Ovis aries: one gene and its partners. Each later gene encodes a partner of the first gene's protein in a complex. Links are inferred from orthologs where the notes say so. Each region holds a gene or a part of one and is shown in the gene's direction. Other genes may lie near its edges.

What was found.
Region 2: HDAC3 (region 1) and GPS2 share a complex: the UniProt entries of both Homo sapiens proteins name them as parts of the N-Cor repressor complex. The link is inferred for Ovis aries from reciprocal best matches to the Homo sapiens genes HDAC3 and GPS2.
Region 3: HDAC3 (region 1) and NKAP share a complex: the UniProt entries of both Homo sapiens proteins name them as parts of the notch corepressor complex. The link is inferred for Ovis aries from reciprocal best matches to the Homo sapiens genes HDAC3 and NKAP.
Region 4: HDAC3 (region 1) and CORO2A share a complex: the UniProt entries of both Homo sapiens proteins name them as parts of the N-Cor repressor complex. The link is inferred for Ovis aries from reciprocal best matches to the Homo sapiens genes HDAC3 and CORO2A.
Region 5: HDAC3 (region 1) and TBL1XR1 share a complex: the UniProt entries of both Homo sapiens proteins name them as parts of the N-Cor repressor complex. The link is inferred for Ovis aries from reciprocal best matches to the Homo sapiens genes HDAC3 and TBL1XR1.

Annotation. Positions count from the first base shown.
Region 1 is NC_056058.1:50,379,851-50,383,902, reverse strand, and holds part of HDAC3 (histone deacetylase 3), read left to right. Parts: intron 1-1,278; coding exon 1,279-1,360; intron 1,361-1,490; coding exon 1,491-1,547; intron 1,548-1,672; coding exon 1,673-1,728; intron 1,729-2,121; coding exon 2,122-2,255; intron 2,256-2,733; coding exon 2,734-2,814; intron 2,815-3,194; coding exon 3,195-3,268; intron 3,269-3,424; coding exon 3,425-3,489; intron 3,490-4,052. UniProt on the Homo sapiens protein: Histone deacetylase that catalyzes the deacetylation of lysine residues on the N-terminal part of the core histones (H2A, H2B, H3 and H4), and some other non-histone substrates.
Region 2 is NC_056064.1:26,910,062-26,914,665, reverse strand, and holds GPS2 (G protein pathway suppressor 2), read left to right. Parts: upstream 1-1,457; 5' UTR 1,458-1,512; intron 1,513-1,700; 5' UTR 1,701-1,769; coding exon 1,770-1,863; intron 1,864-2,187; coding exon 2,188-2,297; intron 2,298-2,372; coding exon 2,373-2,485; intron 2,486-2,636; coding exon 2,637-2,716; intron 2,717-2,795; coding exon 2,796-2,878; intron 2,879-3,069; coding exon 3,070-3,223; intron 3,224-3,315; coding exon 3,316-3,405; intron 3,406-3,500; coding exon 3,501-3,580; intron 3,581-3,664; coding exon 3,665-3,847; 3' UTR 3,848-3,897; coding exon of another isoform or gene 3,898-3,981; 3' UTR 3,982-4,076; downstream 4,077-4,604. Other genes in the region: NEURL4 (neuralized-like protein 4), read left to right, coding at 538-742. UniProt on the Homo sapiens protein: Key regulator of inflammation, lipid metabolism and mitochondrion homeostasis that acts by inhibiting the activity of the ubiquitin-conjugating enzyme UBE2N/Ubc13, thereby inhibiting 'Lys-63'-linked ubiquitination.
Region 3 is NC_056080.1:114,592,937-114,596,988, forward strand, and holds part of NKAP (NF-kappa-B-activating protein), read left to right. Parts: intron 1-381; coding exon 382-462; intron 463-2,427; coding exon 2,428-2,498; intron 2,499-2,806; coding exon 2,807-2,947; intron 2,948-4,052. UniProt on the Homo sapiens protein: Acts as a transcriptional repressor. Plays a role as a transcriptional corepressor of the Notch-mediated signaling required for T-cell development. Also involved in the TNF and IL-1 induced NF-kappa-B activation.
Region 4 is NC_056055.1:49,564,460-49,569,155, forward strand, and holds the start of CORO2A (coronin-2A), read left to right. Parts: upstream 1-1,776; 5' UTR 1,777-2,030; intron 2,031-2,310; exon of another isoform or gene 2,311-2,399; intron 2,400-4,696.
Region 5 is NC_056054.1:210,758,862-210,762,913, forward strand, and holds part of TBL1XR1 (F-box-like/WD repeat-containing protein TBL1XR1), read left to right. Parts: intron 1-3,491; coding exon 3,492-3,619; intron 3,620-4,052. UniProt on the Homo sapiens protein: F-box-like protein involved in the recruitment of the ubiquitin/19S proteasome complex to nuclear receptor-regulated transcription units. Plays an essential role in transcription activation mediated by nuclear receptors.

The DNA of each region.
Region 1 (4,052 bases):
TTTATAAATATGTTACTATATATCTCCAAATGATACTCTTTAAAAAAAATGCATAGTATTCATCACACCTGAAAAATCAACAGTAATTCATATCATCAAATATGCAGTCAGTACTTAAATTTCTCCAATTGTCTCACATTTTTTTCTTTTTTTCAGTTGATTTATTTAAATTAGGATTTAAACAAGGTCCACACTCCATCTCATAAGACTTTTAACCCTTAATGTTTCCTTCTCGCCCTTGAATTTATTTATTTATTTTTGCCATGCCTTGGCTTGAAGGATCTTAGTTCCCTGACCAGGGATTGAACCCAGGCCCCCAGCAGTGAAAACATGGAGTCCTAACCATTAGATTGCCAGGGAATTCCTTGAATTTATCTTTTGAAGAAATGAGGCTGTTGATCCTATAGTTTCCTACAACAGCTACAGTTTCTTGAGTAATTTACTCTGCTGTGCTGAGGATTACTGGTATATCCACTTAATTCTTACACCAACCCTGAGATGTAATAGTCCTTTTCATGATGGTAAGCATTAAGTACATACATTGAAATTTGAGGAGATTTTGATAACTTAGCCTGAACAGTGGCAGTGGCAGGATTCAGGTCCAGAGGCTAGGTTTTTAAACACTACACCAATTGGTTTCCCTGAAGAGCCTTCCAATAGAAGCAGCCTCGGCTGGAGGATTGAGGTCGACTCCTTAGGTTGGCATTGAGCACCTTCCCAACCTTATCCCCACATCTCTGCTGCACAGGGTGTCTTCTCAGAATACCCTTTGTTCTCCAGTCAGCCTCTCCAGGGCCTTCTCAGCCTTCAAGCCACCACAAAGCTTCATGCCATGAAGGCTTTCTTGACCACACCAGCCCCAGAGGTCTGTCCCGCACACACTGCCCTGCTTGTTGGGTTGTTCAGGCACATGCTGTCTTGGGAGCTTTCTTGTTTTTTGTGTTATTGCTCCTGCTAGTTTTGAGTTCGCTTTATAGGTCTGGGAATGTAAAGTCCACCCTCAGGCCACAGCCTTGGGCCCTGTGAATGCTCTTGGTGCAATTAGCACTACTGTCACTGCGCTTCTCTACTTCCCATCCAGTGCCTTGAACAAGTTTCAGTATGTGGTTTCGTCCACAATATTTGTTGAATAAATTTGCAGATAACTTGGGTATGTATGTAGGAGGGGCAGACGGGGTTACTGAAGAAAGGAGACTACGGGGCTCTGGGCTGGGGAGAAAGGTGAAGGAAGGAAGTGGACAGAGGAAAAAGGGCTCCAACTTGCTCTTCTTCTTGCAGCCCCGTGTTTCCCGGGCTGTTTGAATTCTGCTCCCGTTACACAGGCGCATCTCTGCAAGGAGCAACCCAGCTGAACAACAAGGTAGCTGTACCCCAAGTCCTGTTTCCCCCTTCCTGTGGGTCCCTGAATCCAAGGCCTTAACCATGATCCTGAGCTCCCAGCTTTGGGGGTGGGCAGGAAAAGGACTATGAGTTGGGCGTTTGTCTTTCAGATCTGTGATATTGCCATTAACTGGGCTGGTGGTCTGCACCACGCCAAGAAGTTTGAGGTGAGTGAGGAGGTAATGGGGGAGACAGCAGCTCTGCTAGGGTAGGAGGTCAGGATGGCAGTCAGGGGGCGGCTGGGTGGAGGAATTGTTCCTCTTTGTAATACCACTATACTATCTTACCATAGGCTTCTGGCTTCTGCTATGTTAATGACATTGTGATTGGCATCCTGGAGCTGCTCAAGTAAGTAGCCCGGGAGGAGATGGGGCCACTTGCGAGGCTCTTGGCTGAGGTCTGAGACTGCCCTGGCCCTGACCCTGACCCTGACCTCCAGCCCCACACTAGCTTCTCCCAAGTTCTTGATGCTTTTCTCAGGCTGCCTCTTCCTGTGCTCTGCTGCAGATTCCCCGCTGCCTGCTCACATTTCAGCCTTCTCTGCACATCCCTCTCCTGTCCCTGCCTCCAGGCTGGAGCCCCAGGGTTGCCCTTAGGGAACTGGTGGTATTAGGTTTCAGGTGACTTGGGCCAAAGTAGACTCTTCATAATTTCTGGCCTTGTGTTTGGGAGGAGTGGGTTGGGGGCTTTTCCTCCTGGGGTTCACCTCTGCCTCAGACGCTGGCTTTGCCTTCACCCCAGGTACCACCCTCGGGTGCTCTACATTGATATTGACATCCACCATGGCGACGGGGTTCAGGAAGCCTTCTACCTCACTGACCGAGTCATGACAGTATCTTTCCACAAATACGGAAACTACTTCTTCCCTGGCACAGGTATGGAAATAGGAATGCCTGTCCCCTTCATACTCCTCAGCTCTTACCATGACTGCCTCCTCCGCAAGCTCAGGTCTCAATTCAGGTGGCCCCTCCTTGGAGAAACCTTCCCTGATCACCCTGTTACCCTGTCACATCACTCTGCTTTTTTCTTTTCAAGCACTGGTTGCTGTTTGAATTTATTGTGGGGTTTTGTTTTGTTTACTGTCTCCCACCTAATCATGCCTACCTCCCAAGAATATGAGCTTGGTGGGATTTCATTTATTTCGTTAGTTCTTTTTCCTGCTGTATCCCCATACCTAGTTCACAGCTTGGCTCATAGTAGGCCCTCCAGGAGTATCTGTTGAATGAATGCAAGCTGCAAGAGACTTAGTGGTTTGAGGGAGTGTGTGGCGGACATACACAGATGGAGTGAGAGGCCCTCAGAGTACATGGTGGGGTTGAAGCAGCTGGCGCCCCCAACCCCTCTCCCCCACAGGTGACATGTATGAAGTTGGAGCAGAGAGTGGCCGCTACTACTGCCTCAACGTACCCCTGCGGGACGGCATTGATGACCAGAGTACGTACTAAAGTCTTCTCCCTGCTCACTAGGCTCCTTCTCTCTCTCCCTCCTTGAGTTAACCTCTTCTGCCTGGTATTGTCTACCGTTGGGCCAGGTGTCCTTCAGGATGAATGGCCTTCAGAGGGACCATGAACTCCCTGGAAATTGTATGCAACATATTGTGTGTATGTGCATTTTTCTGGGAAAAAGGTCATTAGCTTCCATCAGTCCCTCCAGAAGTCTCATGAACTTCCCCACCTAGAAGTTTGGAACCAATAGTGGTCCCTTTGGGTTGCCCCTTTCCTGGGCTACACGCTCTCTGAACCCCCTTTTTCCTTTTGTTCCCTGTCTCCCCATCCCCTTGGGGTGCCAGGTGCCCATCTTTGGCCCTCTCCCAGGTTACAAGCACCTTTTCCAGCCAGTTATCAACCAGGTGGTGGACTTCTACCAACCCACGTGCATTGTGCTCCAGGTAATACTGTCCGTGCTTCCTTAGGCACTCAGGCTTACGGGAAGAGAGCAGGAAAGAGGAGAATCCCTAGGCTGGTGGGGGAAGGGAAGTGAAGGACATCGGTGACATTCTGAGTAGTTCTCTCACTGTAGCCACCTGGGGTTTTGATTTTTGCAGTGTGGAGCTGACTCTCTGGGCTGTGATCGATTGGGCTGCTTCAACCTCAGCATTCGAGGACACGGGTGAGAACTGCTCTCCTTCCACTCTTCCAGGTTTTCAAGTGGCCTTGGGCTTCAATACATGGAACGGGTAGCTGGGAAACAGCCCTCACCTCCTTTTGGGACTGAAAAGTAGCTGCATGTTGTACTTTGAACCAGAAATGTCATCTTGAGCAGTGTTCCCCAGTTGGCAACATTCACATTAGGTTTTTGTTAAGCACCTGTTGTGTTCCAGGCATTGTACTAGGAGATGGGGAAGCAGTCAGGGAACTCCCATGGAGTTTACAGTTCAGCCTAGGAAACAGGCAAAACTATAAGTAAGCAAACAAGATAGGTAGATTGTTATAAATTCTATGGAAGAAAAAGATAGAAAGCTAAGATATGGGATAACAGTGGAGAAACTACTTTAGATACCATGATTTGGAAAGAATTTTCCAAAATTCTGAGCTGAGACCTGAAGCCTAAAAGGAGTGAGCCATAAGAAGAACAGAGAGAGGTCCATCCCAAGCGGTGAGAAGAGTGCATGCAGACACGCTGAGACAGGGCAGAGGGGTATCGTGGAGGAGATGAAGTAAAACCAGTCAGGT
Region 2 (4,604 bases), on another chromosome or scaffold:
CTCAGGGCCACATGGATCTCCATGATTCCCTCCTGTCCACCTTGTCTCCCTGGTTCCTCAGTCTCCAGCCAGCTCTTCATTCACAGTCTTTGTACAAGTTCCATTTATTTTGTTCTATCACAAAGAACAAAGAAGGGAACCCTGGTCACATGGAAGTTATGTCCTCTCTTGCTGTAGAATGTTTATCCATAGTTATTTAGTATTTTTGAAGGTGACAAGTAAGTACTATGGAAGCGGAAAGTAGAGCAGAGTGAAGTGCATCAGGAGTGTGGTTGGAGCACACAAGATCGGGTAGTCCAGGTAGATATCACTAGGATGAATCTGAGCAAAGACTTGGGCAGGACAAAGTCAGTAGAACAGGCATTGGGAGGAAGACCATTTCAGGTAGAGATGAGGCTGCAGCCAAGCCCCTGTAAGGAAGGAGTGACTACTAGGAACAGCAGGGCCTGTTGCTAATTGAGGTGGTTGCAGGTGCCAAGGGGCAGAGGTACTGGGGCCAGAGGCCTCACTGCCCTATTTCTGCTTGTTACCTGACAGATTCCGGGACCCCAAATCCCAGCGGACGCACCAGGCCCAGGTGGCGTTCCAGGTGTGTGTGCGCCCTGGCTCCTACACCCCGGGACCCCCTTCTGTGGCCCTCAGAGAGCCTCCCGATCCTCACTTCAGCCCAGCTGAACTTGAGTGGGTGACCAAGGAGAAAGGGGCCACGCTCCTCTATGCCCTGCTGGTACGGGTGGAGTGAGGGGCGAGGCCGCACCACTACAAGCACAGTTGGGCCTCGGCCCGTGGACTCGGAATGATGACTGCCTCCAGGTCATTCCAGCGCTCCGCGACATGCATGGTGCTCAGCCTGGCAGATGCACAGGAGCGTGTGGGCAGGCTCCTAGACTAGCTGGGAAGCGGAGCTTGGCTCCGTGCCCCGGCCGGAAGGGGACGTCCCTCCCTCCGCGGTGAGGGCGCAGTGGGGAGCCCGGCCGCAGACCCCGGGAAACCCTCTCCATGCACTGATCTGGGGAGCATGACTCCCCGCGACTCCTCCCCCATACACTTAATTTATTTCCGTTTCTGTTCCCTGGTTACTGTGAATCCCAGAGGCGTCTCCTCGTGCCCCAACGAAGCTGCTGTTCCGGCCCGGGCGGGAGTGGGGAAGGCGGGGGCCGGGGCTCGGGCCTCTGTACAGTTGTTACTGACTCTGATTTATAAGGAGCCAATAAACGAAGTCTAAGAGCAGCCGCCTCGGCCCCTGTTTCGCGTGCCTCTCGTCCACGGGAGGAGCCCCGGCCCCGCCAACTTCGGGGGCTCCGCCCGCTGGGCGGGCCGGGTCGGGGAGTCTCGTGGGGCACATAGCGGGGGTTTGGACACCACGAGCACCCGTCGCCGGCACTTCCGTCTGCGCCGCTCCGCCCAACCAGCGAGCCCGCGGAGGCCCGACTCCGGAAGGATTCGGCCCAGCGGCCGGATGTGACGCCGCGGTCCTGCAGCTCGGGAGGCCACAGAGAAAGCGACGAGAAGGCGAGTAGGGTGGGGCGGGCGCCCGGGTGGCGGGCAGGGGCGGGAGCACGGAGACCGAGACCCAGGCCCGCGCACGCGGAAGAGCCGCGCTGTGGGCCCGGCCGGGCGGCGGGCACGTGACCGGGGCGGCGGGCGGCGGCTTCCGCCTGGACGCGGCCCGCTCCCACTGAGCTGCCGCCTCCCCGCAGGCCCGGCCAGAGGTCTGGCAGCCAGCGACAGAGCCGGGCGCTCACGGCCCGAGCGTCCCCAGCAGCACCATGCCTGCGCTTCTGGAGCGTCCGAAGCTGTCCAACGCCATGGCCAGGGCGTTGCACCGACACATCATGATGGAGCGGGAGCGCAAGCGGCAGGGTGAGCCGGGCTCAAAGCGGGAGGACACACGGTTCGGGCGCTCCGCGGTCCACGGTGACCCCCACCCACGGGCAGACCAGTGCACGACGGCCGAAGCCAGAGGGACAGCTAGCCCCGTGGTGATGGTGGTGGGAGTTAAAAAAGGCCACGCCCGGAGCTGGGAAGGACCTTGGAGAGCACCTAATAAACCTCCCCGTTCCAGCCCCCTCACAGTGATGAAGCCTATTCCAGAGCACTGGGATAACCAGTTTTTGCTGTTCTTCAGTTCTTAATGTTCTAATATTTTAACACCCTGCCGCTTGCCCATTCTGCCTCTTATTTCAGAGGAGGAAGAAGTGGACAAGATGATGGAACAGAAGATGAAGGAAGAGCAGGAGAGAAGGAAGAAAAAGGAGATGGAAGAGAGAATGTCACTAGAGGAGACCAAGGAACAAGTAAGCAGTCCCTCCATCTCTCCCACTTCTTTCTTCTCTTGGCTCTCCTGCTTTCATCTTCTCTCCCCTCCCCAGATCCTGAAGTTGCAGGAGAAGCTTTTAGCTCTACAGGAAGAGAAGCATCAACTTTTCCTGCAGCTCAAGAAAGTTTTACATGAGGAAGAAAAACGGAGGCGAAAAGAGCAGAGGTGAGATTAAAGAACTAAAAATAAAATCGAGGCCAAAGTGTAACAGGGATCAGGTAACAAAAGATCAGTGTTTAATGGCAAATGGGAAGGGAAGTGTGTGGGGGTGGAGACAGGACAGACTTGTCTTTGACCCGCTTTCCTTTCGCTCCAGTGACCTGACCACTCTGACATCAGCAGCATACCAGCAAGGCCTGACCGTTCACACCGGAACTCACCTCCTCAGCATGCAGGGTGAGGATTAAGAAACTACTGGTCAGAATGGGCCCTCCTGGGAGTTGCAACATCATGAAGCACCCCTCTCCCTCTCTAGGGAGCCCTGGAGGACACAATCGCCCAGGCACCCTCATGGCAGCTGACAGAGCCAAACAGATGTTTGGACCCCAAGTACTTACGGTAAGAGTAGGAAGATTGGGTGTCTAGGCTGAATTTTTTTTTCCTACTTCCACCCAGACCCTAGCATCTTCACCAGCCAGCACTCAAGTCTTGAGTGTGTCTACATCTGAATAGGGGGAATGGGGGTGCTGTCACTTGAATTTCTGCTTCATGGAGTTTACAGGCAGTGAGTTTTCATCCTTCCTTCTTAGACCCGGCACTACGTGGGCTCAGCAGCTGCTTTCGCAGGGACCCCGGAGCATGGGCAATTCCAAGGTAGCCCGGGTGGCGCCTATGGAGCTGCTCAACCCCCACCTCACTATGGACCCACGCAGCCTGCCTACAGTCCTAGTCAGCAGCTCAGAGGTGAGGTGGGAAGAGGAATTTTCCTCAAGACCCAAAGGGAGGAGTGTTGAACAGGCTACAAGGAAGTTCTAATGGCCTCCTGCCTTCCTCAGCACCTTCCGCGTTTCCTGCAGTGCAGTACTTGTCTCAGCCACAGCCACAGCCCTATGCCGTGCACAGCCACTTTCAGCCCACCCAGACAGGTGATGGGAACACCCCATGCTGGGGCCCAGTTCCATGCATCCTACCTTCCTCCTTTCCCCCTTCTCCATTCACTTCACACTCCTTCCCCGCCTAGGGTTTCTCCAGCCTGGTGGTGCCCTGTCCTTACAAAAGCAGATGGAACACGCTAACCAGCAGACTGGCTTCTCTGACTCAGTGAGTAGAACCTTGCAAAGTCAAGGGCTGCCTATGCTAAGGGGAACCTCAGGCTGCCTCAGTTGCTGACACTGTTCTCTGCAGTCCTCCCTGCGTCCCATGCATCCCCAAGCTCTGCATCCTGCCCCTGGACTCCTGGCTTCACCCCAGCTTCCTGTGCAGATGCAACCAGCAGGAAAGGTAAGGGTGGTGATCGGGTCCCTCAGAATCCCTGCATTGCACCGTTTTCCTTTCCCCTCCCTGGGGTGGCTCTCTGGTGTGGAGTAGACAGGAGGGTGTGCACACTGACAAGGCCCTCCTTTCATCACCACTGCCAGTCGGGCTTTGCAACCACCAGCCAGCCTGGCCCTCGGCTCCCCTTCATCCAGCACAGCCAGAATCCACGATTCTACCACAAGTGACCATCAGATTTATCTTCAGCCTTGACCCCAACCCCTGCCCTTGGGGAGGATCCCCGGTATCCCAGTACCAGGCCAATAAAATCTACCTGCCACTGCCCCTGGCTGCTGTCTGTGTTGCCTCCCACTGGACTGTTTAAGAGGGTGGGCAGTGGCTGGCAGGAATCACAGGGCGACAGCAGGGTTGGTTGTAATGAACTCAGCAGCAGAGTTCATTCAACCTGTACTCTTCAGATTTCCAAATAAATACCCATTTAATTCAAAAAAGCAGTTGAGTTGGGGACTTCATATTAAACTTGTAGTTTTATTCAGGTTTGATTTTAACAAATGTGTCGGGGAGAGAGCCCGCAGGAAAGGATGAAGCCCATGGGAGCAGGGCCCTCCCAGATGCCTGAGGAGGGGGCATGTCCCCTCCCCTCTCCTCCTCTTCCCTCCCCATCTTTAGATGGGGAGAGACATAGGCAGGGGAGGGGGCTGGTCCCCAGTCTGTGGGGGTGGTGCTTGGGATAGAGGGCTATGGAGGAAATAAGGGGTCAGATTAAGTAAGAGTTGGGGAAGGGCACAAGGACCATTTGCCAGAATCCACAGCTTTCTGATTCCAGATTGAATTGAATTAAAAAAAAAAA
Region 3 (4,052 bases), on another chromosome or scaffold:
TGGACAGCCTCCCAGGCTGAATCTCTGGCCAGGCCTATCGGGCTGTCTGTAGTTTGCACTATTTGATAGAACATCAGATACATCAGAATATTAGATCCTAATATTGAGTTAGATCCTAATGTTGAGTTTACTTAAAAAAAAAAAAAGTTGGCCACCTCTTGTGGCATGCGGAATCTTAGTATCTGAACCAGGCATCAAACCTGTATCACCTGCAGTGGTAGCACAGTGTCTTAACCACTGGACTGCCAGGGAAGTTCCTGAGTTTAAACCAAGTTTTTATTAGTTTAAAGTTTAAAATGTAGAGGGAAAACAGGACTTGACTGGACCCCTTTGAATCTTATAATACATTTAGGAAACAGTTTACCTGCCTATCTCTTCTAGGAGACTAAGTGAGAGAGAGAGGATTGGAGAATTGGGAGCTCCTGAAGTGTGGGGACTTTCTCCAAAGAATCCAGAACCAGAGTAAGTGATTAAAAATGCATCTTTTATATGGCAGAAACCAACACAATATTGTAAAGCAATTATCCTTCAATTAATAAAAATAAAATTTAAATATATATATTTTTTAAATGCAACATTTGTTTAAATCCAGAGTCTATGGTCAAAATTTTTGTTAAGTGAAGAACTTTAACTACAGCTCTTTTTTTCCCTCTTTCTTGTGATTTATGCTATTCTGTGCCTTGAGTTTTAAAAACATTAAACATACCTTAGTATTAAAACATGCTCCTTGTGGATTTTAGCATGCTAATTGTTCTCTTTAAATTGTAATTCATGGGATGCTAATTTCCTATTCATAGAAGGGTTCAGTGTTGAAACAAATACATTTATAGTATTTTGAATTATTTTTTCTCAGTCCAGTAACTGATTAAATGTCAGACATTAACATTACAAAAAGTTTTTAAAAATGAATATACTGAGTCTGTTTAGTTTCCTGTATTCAGTATTATTAAAGGCCTAATGCTTTTTCCTTTTCCTTATTTTTTTTTCCTCTGTGTTGTTGTTCAGTCATGTCCAACTCTTTGCGACCCTATGGACTGCGGCTTTTCTCTCTTTGGTGCCATTCAGAAGCTGCATCTACCCTCTGCTCTATTTCTGTGTTTTCTTTAGAGTTGAGACAAGGTGCTTGACAGGTAAACTTGTAATTTGTGACAGGGTGATAAAGCATTATTATCTGAAAGTTCTTTTTTCTTCTTAAAAAATTGTTATTTTTTCCCACCCCCTATAATTTTTTGAGATATATTTGACATACAATATTAGTTTCAGGCATGTTATAACATGATTCAATATTTGTATATATTGCAAAATAATCACCATAGTAAGTCTAGTTAGCATCCATCACCATATATAGTTATAAAAAGTTTTTTCTTGTGATGAGAACTTCTAAGATTTACTTTCTTATCAACTGTCAGATATGCAGTACAGCATTATTAACTGCAGTCGCCATGCTATACATCACATCCCCATGACTTCCTTATTTTATAACTGGAGTTTGTGTTTTACCCACGCCCTGCCCCCACCTTCTGCACTCTGGCAACCATCACTCTGTTCTCTGTATCTGTGGTGTGGTGGTTTTTTCTTTTTTAGATTTCACATATAAGTGAGATCATGTCTTATCTTTCTCTGTTTGACATTTCATTTAGCAAATGCCCTCACAGGCTGTCCATGTTGTTGAAAATGGCAAGCTTCATTCTTTTTTAAAGATAAATAATATTCTGCTGTGGGGTATGCTTGTGTGTTTCTCATAGTTCCTTTATCCATTCATACATTCATGGATATTTGGTTGTTTTAACATTTTGGCTATTATAAGTAATGCTGCAGTGAGCATGAGAGTCCAGATATCTCTTTGAGATATTGATTTCAGTTCCATCAGATATATATCCAGAAATGAGATTGTTAGGTGATATGGAAGTTCAATTTTTAATTTCTTGAAGAACCTCCATTCTGGATTCTATAATAGCTGTACCATTTTATATTCTCACTCTGTTATATTATAACAGTGTAAGTGTTCCCTCTTTTCCATATTCTCACCAACAGTTGTTATCTTTTGTCTTTTTGATAACGTTCATCCAAACAGGTGTGAAGTGATATCTCATTGTGGTCTTGATTTGCATTTCCCCAGTGATTAATGATGTTGAACATCTCTTCATTACCTATTGGCCATCTGTGTGTCTTCTTTGAAAAAATCTCTATTCAGATCCTCTGCCTATGTGTAAAATCACATCATTTTTTGGGTTTTGCGTGTTTTTTTTTTTTACTATTAATCTCTTCTCGGATATGATTTGCAAATGGTGTCTCTCATTCAGTCCATGCTGCAGTCCCCTGGGGTTGCAAAGAGTCAGACACAACTGAGCGACTGAACAACAACAACATTCAGTAGGTTGCCTTTAACACTCTTCTGATTCTTATTACTGTTTTCTTTAAATTCAGCTCTGATGAACACACACCAGTAGAGGATGAAGAGCCAAAGAAAAGCACCAGTTCAGCTTCTACTTCAGAAGGTATTTTTTTAATTGAGAGCTTTTTATTGAGAAATTTTTAAAAATACATTTATAAATAGTTGAACATTACACTTTACTTGTATTCAAATTGCCTGTCATCATTTCCTTTTCAGTATTTCAAATACAATAAAATTGATACTCAGAAATACTTGTGATACTTGTATATGTATGGCTGAGTCCCTTCACTGTTCACCTGAAACTATCACAGCATTGTCAATCGGCTATACCCCAGTACAAAATAAGTTTTTTTTTAAAAATTTAAAAAGAAATACTTCTTTAGAAGTAATTTTTATTTGTATTTTATGTAGAAGAAAAGAAGAAGAAGAAGAAGTCTAGTCATTCAAAAGAAAGATCCAAGAAAAGGAGGAAGAAAAAATCATCTAAAAGAAAACACAAGAAGTATTCTGATGATAGTGACAGCGACTCTGATTCTGACACAGACTCCAGTGGTAAGAAAGCCAATGTCATTCTGCCCGCCTTACTTCAAAACTAGTTTTACTTCTTAAAGTTTATTTTAGTTTTATATATTTTTGGCTGTGCTGGATCTTCGTTCCTACGTGGGGGCTTTCTCTAGTTGTGGCAAGTGGAGGCTATTGTTCGTTGCGGTACACAGGCTTCTCTTGTTGTGGAGCTCAGGCTCTAGAGCGTGCAGGCTCAGTGGTTGTGGCGCATGGACTTAGCTGTTCCCTGGCGCATGGGATTTTCCTGGACCAGGGATTGAACCTTTTTCCCTTGCATTGGCAGGCGGATTCTTAACCACTGGACCACCAAGGAAGTCCAAAGCTTATGCTAGAAAAAGGTTCTTTAAAATAATAATAACCAAGAGTTTTGAACATGCACTGACTTTGTGTCAGGCACCCTGCTAAGTGCCTGATAGGCATTATTGCTGTTTAATCCACACAGTCACTGTCAGACACATCATAGAGTAGGGGAGACAGAGGACCTGAGCAGATTATAAGTACCGCTCATACCCAAGGTCACACAGTTGGGATTCAGAGCTAAGCGGTGTGACTCCAGAGTGGTTGTGTGTAGCTGCACAAGGCGTGTGGCACCGAACCAAGTTGGGGTCAGTCTCTGAGACGTGTGGTGCCAAACCAGGCCATAGGGGGCTGCATCAGCCCAGTGGAGTAGCTCTTTGGAGAGATTCTCACACTCAGCGGTCAGCTTTGTGTGATTTTCAGAGGTACAACATAGGGGACCCTTCAGGCCAGCAGTTGATTACTGGAGGACACTTCCTGTGTGGCTGCATCACAACAAAGCCGTCTTTTGGTGTCCTCCCATGGCTGGTGATTGACAGAGGGTGCCTCCTCTGGGGACACATTTCTATGGATTTCTCATCACAGGTACCCTGTCACTCTCCTGCAGGGTCCTGTGTGGCTTGAGAGTGACTTTCGTCTCCACATATTGCATGTCCTTTCTCCTGACTCTGCCATGTAGTACAGAATCCGGCTGCCTACAGTGCCAGTCTCCTTTCATGTGGCTTGGCCTACTCACTGCATGGATGGACGTGCATTACTTTTGTAATAAAACTGACTTTAGAAAGAACTAGCTTAA
Region 4 (4,696 bases), on another chromosome or scaffold:
TCAACCTGCCATGAGCACAGGACCACCTTGTACAGAAAGCTCCATGCTGGGCAGATAGGGGAGAACTTGCCACTGTCTCTCACACACTGCACACATACACAGGTTCTGGTCACCCAGAAGACATTTACCCACATGTGGCAGGTTAATTTTTAAAAAAGGAAATTTGGGCTACACCACACAACAGGTAGGATCTTAGTTCCCCAACCACCGGTTGAAACTTGCACCCTCTGCCTTCGATGAACAGAGTCTTAACCACTGGACCACCAGGAAAGTCCCAACACACAGCAAATTGAACAAAGGCCATGCTGACACAGGAAGGGGTTGGATTTCTGGCCTATCTCAATCAGCAGTAAGGCCCAATAGAAGACTTTGGGACCAGACCTATTGTGTGTTTCCTAGCTAGAGACCCCTGGGTAGGTCATTCCCATTCTGGCCTCAGTTTCCCCATGTGTGCACTTCAGATAGTCAGCAGATGTTGATGTTCAGTTGCCCAGTTGAGTCCGACTCTTTGCTTCGCCATGGACTGCAGCATGCCCGGCCACCCTGTCCCTCACAAGTTCACGTCTATTGCATCCATGATGCTATCCAGCCAGCTATCTTATCCTCTAACACCCTCTCCTTCTGCCCTCAGTCTTTCCCAGCATCAGGGACTTTTCCAATGAGTCAGCTGTTCACATCAGATGACCAAAATACTGGAGCCTCAGCTTCAGCATCAGTCCTCCCAACAAGTATTCAGGGTTGATTTCCCTTAAGATTGACTGGTTTGCTCTCCTTGCTGCCCAAGTAACTCTCAGGAGTCTTCTCCAACACCACCGTTCGAAGCCATCAATTCTTTGCTGCTCTGCCTTCTTCACAGTTCAGCTCTCACAACCAAACGTGACCACTGGGCAGGCGGTCTTCATCAGATGGATCAGTGTTAGGAGGAAGGAAGGGGCAGGGGAGGAGGAGCACACCTACACAGCATCTCTAGGGAGAGTCCCAGGGTGTGTCTATTGCAGAGCCCACCAATGGCCTCCCCACCGGTCTATATGCCCAGGCCCCCCAGAAAGGCCTCTGTCAACCAGCCTGTCCCCAAACGCCGTCCCAGCCACCCACTATCATGGCACAGAGGGGTAAGAGGCAGATACACCGCTGGGAGGTCACACCCACTGGAATCTGGGAAGACTTCCCGGAGAGGGACGTTGGTACTGGCCTTGGAAGGAAGGACAGTAGGAGGTGAGGGAAGAGAACTCCAGGCAGAGGGGACAGCGTGAACAAAGGCATAGATGTGTGACAGTGCAAGGGAGTGCACCAGTTACTGGCCCTGGCACTATGCGAATTAAGACGTTGAGGTGAATTAACAGTTACTGAGCCACGTACTGTTCTAGCTCCTAGAGATACACCACTAAACAAAGAGCTCTTCTCAAGAGAGGTGGTGTGGTAGTGTAGTTATAAGCTTGGGGTTGGGAGCCACTCTACCTAGGGTTGAATTACTACCTGTGTGATCTTAGGCAAACTACTTAACCTCTCTGTGCCTTAGCTTCCTCATGTGTAAAATAGATGAGTAACAGGTAACCTCATAGGTTTGTGTGATGTAAACTATGGTGATGCATTGAAGGTGCCTAGAACTGTGCCTGGCTCATTAAGTGCTAGCTGATGGTATTCCTAAAAGGCTGGACCACCCCCATCTCTGTCCCAGTGCCTAGCGTGCAAAACCCCATAGCCGGCGGGAACGGGCAGCAGCGCCCCCTCCTGGCCACAGAGAGAAAGAAGGGCGTCCTCCGGGTCCTCCCCGCCCTCTTCCTGCAGGCTTACTGAGAAGCCTAAGGAATTACTCCACCAGCCCAGGTTCACAGAGCGCTGCTCCCGAGGTCGGCTCTGCGCACGCACTTCACCAGGCAGGTAAATTAGATCGTCTCATCTAATTTTCAAACAGCTCTCTGAGGCAGACACAGTTACTGCTTCCCTTTCATCAGGGGCGTAACTGAGGCTCCCGGAAGGTCGAGTCCCTTGTTCCAAGCCATTCGGCGAGGGAGCGGCGGGGCGCGAAGGTAGGCGAGTATGACTGTCCCCAGCCTCGGCTCGGTTAGCCGGGCAGCCCGCCCCAATCACTGCGGCGTGTGCACGCGGGTGTGCGCGCCCGTTCTGCGCGCGTGTGCGCGCTCCGGGACCAGTCCCGGGGGCCAGGAGCGCGGACAAGGGCTCGAGAAAGGAGGGGTGGCCCCCGAACTCGCGGGGCGCGAGGGCGGGGCATGTGCCTAGCCCTTGCCCCGCCCACCGGCCCCACCCGCCGACTTCGGTGGGGAGGAGGAGGCGGCGGCGCTGGGCTCCGGGACTCGGAGGCGGCTAAGAGCGCGGAGCCGGAGCTGGACGCCGCCGCCGCCGCCACCGCCACCGCCACCTGCGCGGCAGTCATCAAGGTAGGGCGGCCCCGGGCCGCCGGCCATACCTTCCCGGTTTGTGCGATGTGTGCGCGCTGCGCCTCCGGGCTGCAGCGCATGGGGAGGGATGCTGGGGCTCGGCGCACCGCGGGGGACCCGGCGGGGCGCGGGGGACCTGGCTTCCAGCCCCTCCGCGTGACCTTGCACAAAGCACTGCTCCTCTCCAGGCCTCAGTTTCCCCATCGGAATAGCCGGCGCAGTGGTGGCACGTTCCTCGCCTGACTGTTAGAGTAGGGGCCGCCTCAGGCTCCAGCCTCCCGACGGCGCGGGGCCCGCATGGGCACTGTCTGCGCAGCCCACCCGGAGTGAGCGCAGCTCATGCTGGGTGTGGCTGGCCGTGCCCGTCAGCCTCCTTCCCGCCCCCCGCTAGCGGCCTGGGTGCCTCGCGGGACCCGTGTGGTACTCGACCCTCTCCTGGCTGAGAAACCTGCTGGACCTCAGCTTCCGGGCACGAGAAATAGGCAGGGGGAGCGGACACCCCCCAGGTCCCTGTGGAGCCGGCCTGGGCATGCAGGGTGGAGCCATCAGAGTCTGCCAGCCAAGTCTACCTCGCGGTCTGGGGCGGCGGGAGCCCTGGGCTGGAGGTAGTGGGGGCCTTGGCCCCAGACTTGCCTAGACCAGACCTGTGCAAGCACCTGGATTTAGGGAATGGTGCGGAACCTGCCCTCCCCATACCCTTCCCTTCCTTTCCCCACCAGGTGCTGACGCTCAGCTCGGTGTCCCAGCCTGCTGGGATAGGGCTAGGTCCATGCATGGACCCCAGAGGGGCTCCAGCACCGGGAGAGCCATGTCTGGGTGGGGTTGGGTCTGGGACAGAGCAGGTGTCGGAGGGACTGTGTGTGGCTCCAGACTCTCTGTGTAAAGAAGAATCTTGGCATTTGGCCCAGCCCCTTGGTCAGATCCCCTCTGGAAGGTCTTACTGCCCAGTTGCACACCCCTTATTATGGGAATCTCACTAGCTGCAAACAGAGCTAGGATCTGCTAGTCCTGCTCTGAGCACACAGACAACATCTGACTCCTCCCTGCCTCCCAACCTGGGGTAGTCATCTGGACCCTTAAGCCAGTTCACCTCAGGGATAAACAGCCCCACATCCAACATTGTTTCTCCTGTTGGAGTTGAAGAGAGCCAAGGCGGGACCAGGAAGCTGAGGTGTCTGCCCCAGAGGGGGCAGTAGTCAGCCTGGGGCTTGTTCACAACCCACTTCCTTAGGATTTACCTGCAGGTGAGCAGCTGCCTTAGGTCTGGAGTGAGAGGAGCCAGAGGAGCCTCTCTCCGGACCTTATCCTCTCCTGTCACCCGCCCTGATTGAGGGAGCAGGTTCAGAGCATCAGGTCTGGGCCTTCTGGTCTCCCTTGTCCTCCCACGAGACCTGTCCCTCACCTGGGAGCTTTCTTACAGCCAAAAAAAGGGCTGCTGGGGCAGGGGGTGCCCGCTGGGTCCTCAGAGGTGTGTGAGCAGAGGTTGGCCAAGCACTTGCTGAGGGTGAGCTACCTTTGACTGCAAGTCTGGGACTCTCAGGCTGAAGTAGCGTGACCACGACCTTACCTTCTGGCCATGGAGGAGCTGCACGGGACTTGAGGCTAGACCACAGATGAGTGTTATTATTCCCTCGTAAAAGCAGACTAAGTATCTGTCCTGTCACTCAAGTGTAGCTCCCTCGCACAGGCTTAAGTGCTCCCTGTGTCTCCTGTCGTCTCTACCTGCGTATAATCCGGGCTTTGTTTTCCTGTTCCACTAGTCCAAGCTGTTTGGACCTTGATTTAGAGGTATGACAGATCCTGGGTATTAAACAGTCATCCTAGGCCAATAATTTTAAAATGCACCATGGAATTATGAAATATCTAAGCTGAAAGGAATCTTAAAAAATCATCTCATTCAACCCCGTCATTTTACAGATAGATATCCTCTGTCCCTGGAGGGGATGTGACTTGTCAAAGATCACACAGCAGACAAGCAACCAAGCCCAGAGATCTTTATTCCAGGCCTTGTGTGTATGTCTGAAAACACATACCATATAGTAAATGAAAGTACTCTATTTATTCCAAAATTAGCAGAAATAAATGTAAAAGGATAAAACTCTATGCTGGTAAAGCTATAGGGATTCTCCAGTAGCATTTAATTTTACAGGGCAATCTGGCAGCTTGTTCCAAAAGTCCATGAAAATGGTCCTAACTTCCGTTTGCCCCTAGCCTTCCACTTTGAGGACTTTCCCCTAAGGAAGTAATTATAGGAGAGATGAGTGTAATGCTGTTATTTACAAGAAGTTATCTTATGG
Region 5 (4,052 bases), on another chromosome or scaffold:
CATCTCAATATGAGTTTACATTTTTCTTGTTTTATAACTAAAAGCAAAAACTAGCACCTAGCCCCTGTGTATATCACATACCAGAATTAAGGGGTGAGAAAAGCTTTTTGAGATAAAGAAAAATATAATAATCTTCAAAATTAATGAAGCTTGAGCTGTATACTTCATCAAATTAGCTCTACTAAAAATAATTTACCTTTGATTTTACAATGCCACTGCCTACAAACGTGATAACCTTCATAGATAGGATAATCATGAAGGAAAACTGCTTTTCCTCTTCCCATGAACAGATTAAATGTAACCTTGGTAACCTGGTGGGGTTTTTTCCCTTAAATACCAGCTATGCTTTTAGTTAGGTTTTCTCAAGTCTGGACTCCTCTGTAAGCATTGCTGATAAAAATGCTTTTCTTCACACTTGCATTTGCGAGAGTACTTTGCAAGTGTGTGCGTGCGTGCATGTGCACACCCCTGCTCACTCAGTCATGTGTGAGGACCACAGCCCACCAGCCTCCTCTGTGGAATTTTCCAGGCGAGAATACTGGAGTGCGTTACCATTGCCTACTCCAGGGATTGAACCCGCGTCTCTGCATCTCCTGCATGGGCAGGCAGATTATTTACCACTGTGCCACCTGGCACCCTTGCATGCACATACATTATGCTTATAAAATGAATAAAGAGCAAAAAACTTCTTTGGGAGCAGAGTGTGGTACATACAAGGAAATGAAAGAAGGCCAGTGGCTACTCTCAGCTACTGATTTGCAGTTCAAGAGATATGTTTGAATTAGAAAGTGTTAGAGAGTTTTGTTGTTGTTGTTCCAAGAATAATAAACGGTCATAGAATTTTAAAGCAGAAGCTATAAGGATGGATAATGTCTAGTGAAGCCATACTTTGAGAAGAAGGAACAGCAGATAAATGAGAAGATTATGCTTCGCTTGCATAGTGCCTTTGAGTCATGCAAGTGGAAGTGCCAGGTTGGTCTGAGGCTCAGAGAAGAACTCAAAGTTTGATGTAACCATTTGGGAATCCTCAATAGATGGATGGTCATTCAAAGCCATGGGCGTGGACAAAATTGTGTAGGTAAAAAGTATCAAGTAAAAGAAGAAGAAAGCTTTAAAAGTCTTAAACTCTGTAATATTTACCTGCTTTAAGAAGAATCAGGTTCCAAGAGAAAACCTAGCAGGAATGACTTCAGTGGAAATAGTATGTATGTGTAGAGAAGAATATTTCAAGGAGGTGTTGAAGAGAATGGTCAGTAGTATCAGTGCTATTGAAAGCTGGCATGAAATACGTTTTAGAAACTTATCTTTTGCACATATTTACATGGAGTTATGTATACCTAGGATATAAAACTGGAGAAGGCAATGGCACCCCACTCCAGTACTCTTGCCTGGAAAATCCCATGGGCAGAGGAGCCTGGTAGGCTTCAGTCCATGGGGTTGCTAAGAGTCGGACACGACTGAGCAACTTCACTTTCATCTTTCACTTCCATGCATTGGAGAAGGAAATGGCAACCCACTCCATTGTTCTTGCCTGGAGAATCCCTGGGACGGGGGAACCTGGTGGGCTGCCGTCTGTGGGGTTGCACAGAGTCAGACACAACTGAAGCGACTTAGCAGAATACAGAACATTATGATACTGTTTCGTTATCTCAGTTTCATTGCAGAAGTGTGAAATCCCAGCTGATTTTTGTTTCTTTGTTGGCACTTGTGTTTGGTGTATGTTTGTTTGGGGCAAGATTTTCCATCTTGTCTTTATTGAGTGATTTTGTCAGAAATACTGTTGATACAGGTTTCTCTTAACTTTTGCTCAAAAACAGTACGAGTTTTTAATCTGTATTGCATAATAAACATGTTTTCAACTTGAGAAAAGTGTTTTCTGCTTACCATTTTAACTTTAATTATTGCTTTTTTAATGGTTTTTTTCTATATGGATCATTTAAAATTTCTAAATCTTATTATGGTGAGAACAGATGAGATCTACCTTTTAACAGATTTTAAAATGTACTATACAGTATTGTTATCTAAACACAGTGTTGTATGGCAGATCTCCTCTAGGGTTGAAATTTTATACTTTTTGAATAGCAGCCCACCTCCACCACAACTCCTTACAACCACCATTCTTTTTTTCTTTTCCATTATTGTTTATTATAGGATATTGAGTATGATTTCTGTGCTATATTCTATATAGGACCTTACTGTTTATCCCCGCCATTCTTTTTTCTTGCTTTTATGAGTTTGATTCTTAGATACCTCATGTAAATGGAATCATGCAATGTTTGTTTTTAAAATGTACCCATGTTGTCCTGTTGAATACTGCAGGATTTCCTTATACGTTCAGTCTGAATGTGCTCCACTGCGTGCACGCGCATCTTCTTTTCCCACTCACCCATTGTTGGACTCTTAGGCTGTTTCCATATTTTGGCTTTTCTGAAGAATGCTGCAGTGAACATGGGAGTACAGATACCACCTCAAGAGCCTGGTTTCATTTTATATGTTTTATATATATGTAGCCAGATGTGGAATTGCTGGTTCATATGGGGATAGTTGCTAAAATTTGAGGGAGAACCTCCATACTGGTTTTCATCATGGCTGCACCATTTTGTATTCATTTATCAGCAGTTTATAAGGGTTCCAAGTTCTCTATATTCTTGACAAAATTTTTAAAATTTATGGTAGCCATCTAACAGTTGTGAAGTGATATCTCATTGTAGTTTTGATTTGCTTTCCCCTGATTATCCGTGCCATTGAGCATCTCTTCATATAACCTGTTGGCCATTTGTATGTCGATTTGGAAGGAATGTCAAGTCCTTTGTCCATTTTAAAATTAGTATTTTGCTTTTGAGTTGTAGGATTTCCTTACATATTTTGAAAGTTATTGGATATATGGGTTGCAGTATTTTCTCTCATTCCATAGGTTGTTGCCTTTTTACTTTATTGATTGTTTTCTTTGCTGTGCAGAAACGTTGTAATTGTATGTAGTCCCTCTTGCCTTTATTTTTCGTGCTTTTATTGCCTATCCTTTGGTGTCAACATGAATCATACTGTATTATCTGTATATTCCTTATCAACTTTCCCTTCCCCATTGCCATATAGTTCCTAATTCTGAATTCTAAGAGGAACTTATAATGTATATCTTTATTTTTAAAGGATAGCATAAAAACGAATGCCTTAAATATTGTAGCATCACTACCAAGGAAATTACTGAATGTTTATATTTGTACCATCTGAAGCTTTCAAAAATAATCTTAGAACTACAATTTATTGAATCCTGAAGCCTCACAATACTGATTATTAGAATGAACTTGAAGCTAATTTGTCATTTTTAAAAAACAAATATTAAATAAATTCTACTACATTTTAATTTCTTTGCATATATTCTCTTGATCTCTATAATTATTGTTATGGTTATGCCACATATTTTGGACTGGCTAGATCATATTATAAATGTATCCTTTGTATGGAAAGCTAATTTACACACACTTTTTGTTTAGATATGGAGTATGAAACAAGACAACTGTGTCCATGATTTGCAAGCACATAATAAAGAAATTTATACTATCAAATGGAGTCCAACAGGGCCAGGGACAAGCAATCCAAATGCCAACCTTATGTTAGCAAGGTAACATTTCTGTTTTGCTTTTCCTTTATGAGTCTTTTACAAAAAGAAAATTCTTACATTATGGCAGAAAATTAGGAAAATTCAGTAAATTGGGAATGTGTCCTGCAAGGAGTATTTTTTAAATGGGAACATTTAGACATTTTATTATTTCAGCTCATAATGGATTTTGTTTATGGAGATGTCAAATATTTACTGATAATATCAAATATTGATTAAAACCTATGTAACCGAGGCACGACACAATAAAGTTTTTTCAGCATCAAAATAAATAATAAGTGTATATTCAAAGTAATGTTTCGTGAATCAATATAAAGGAGTTATTTAAAGAATAAAGAAATATAGTAAATTAGCTTATTTATGTTTTCCAATTTACAGATGTGGAGATGCCCTTAATGGAAGCTGCCTCTTCTCCTTTTAGCTTTGTTTCCAGAGC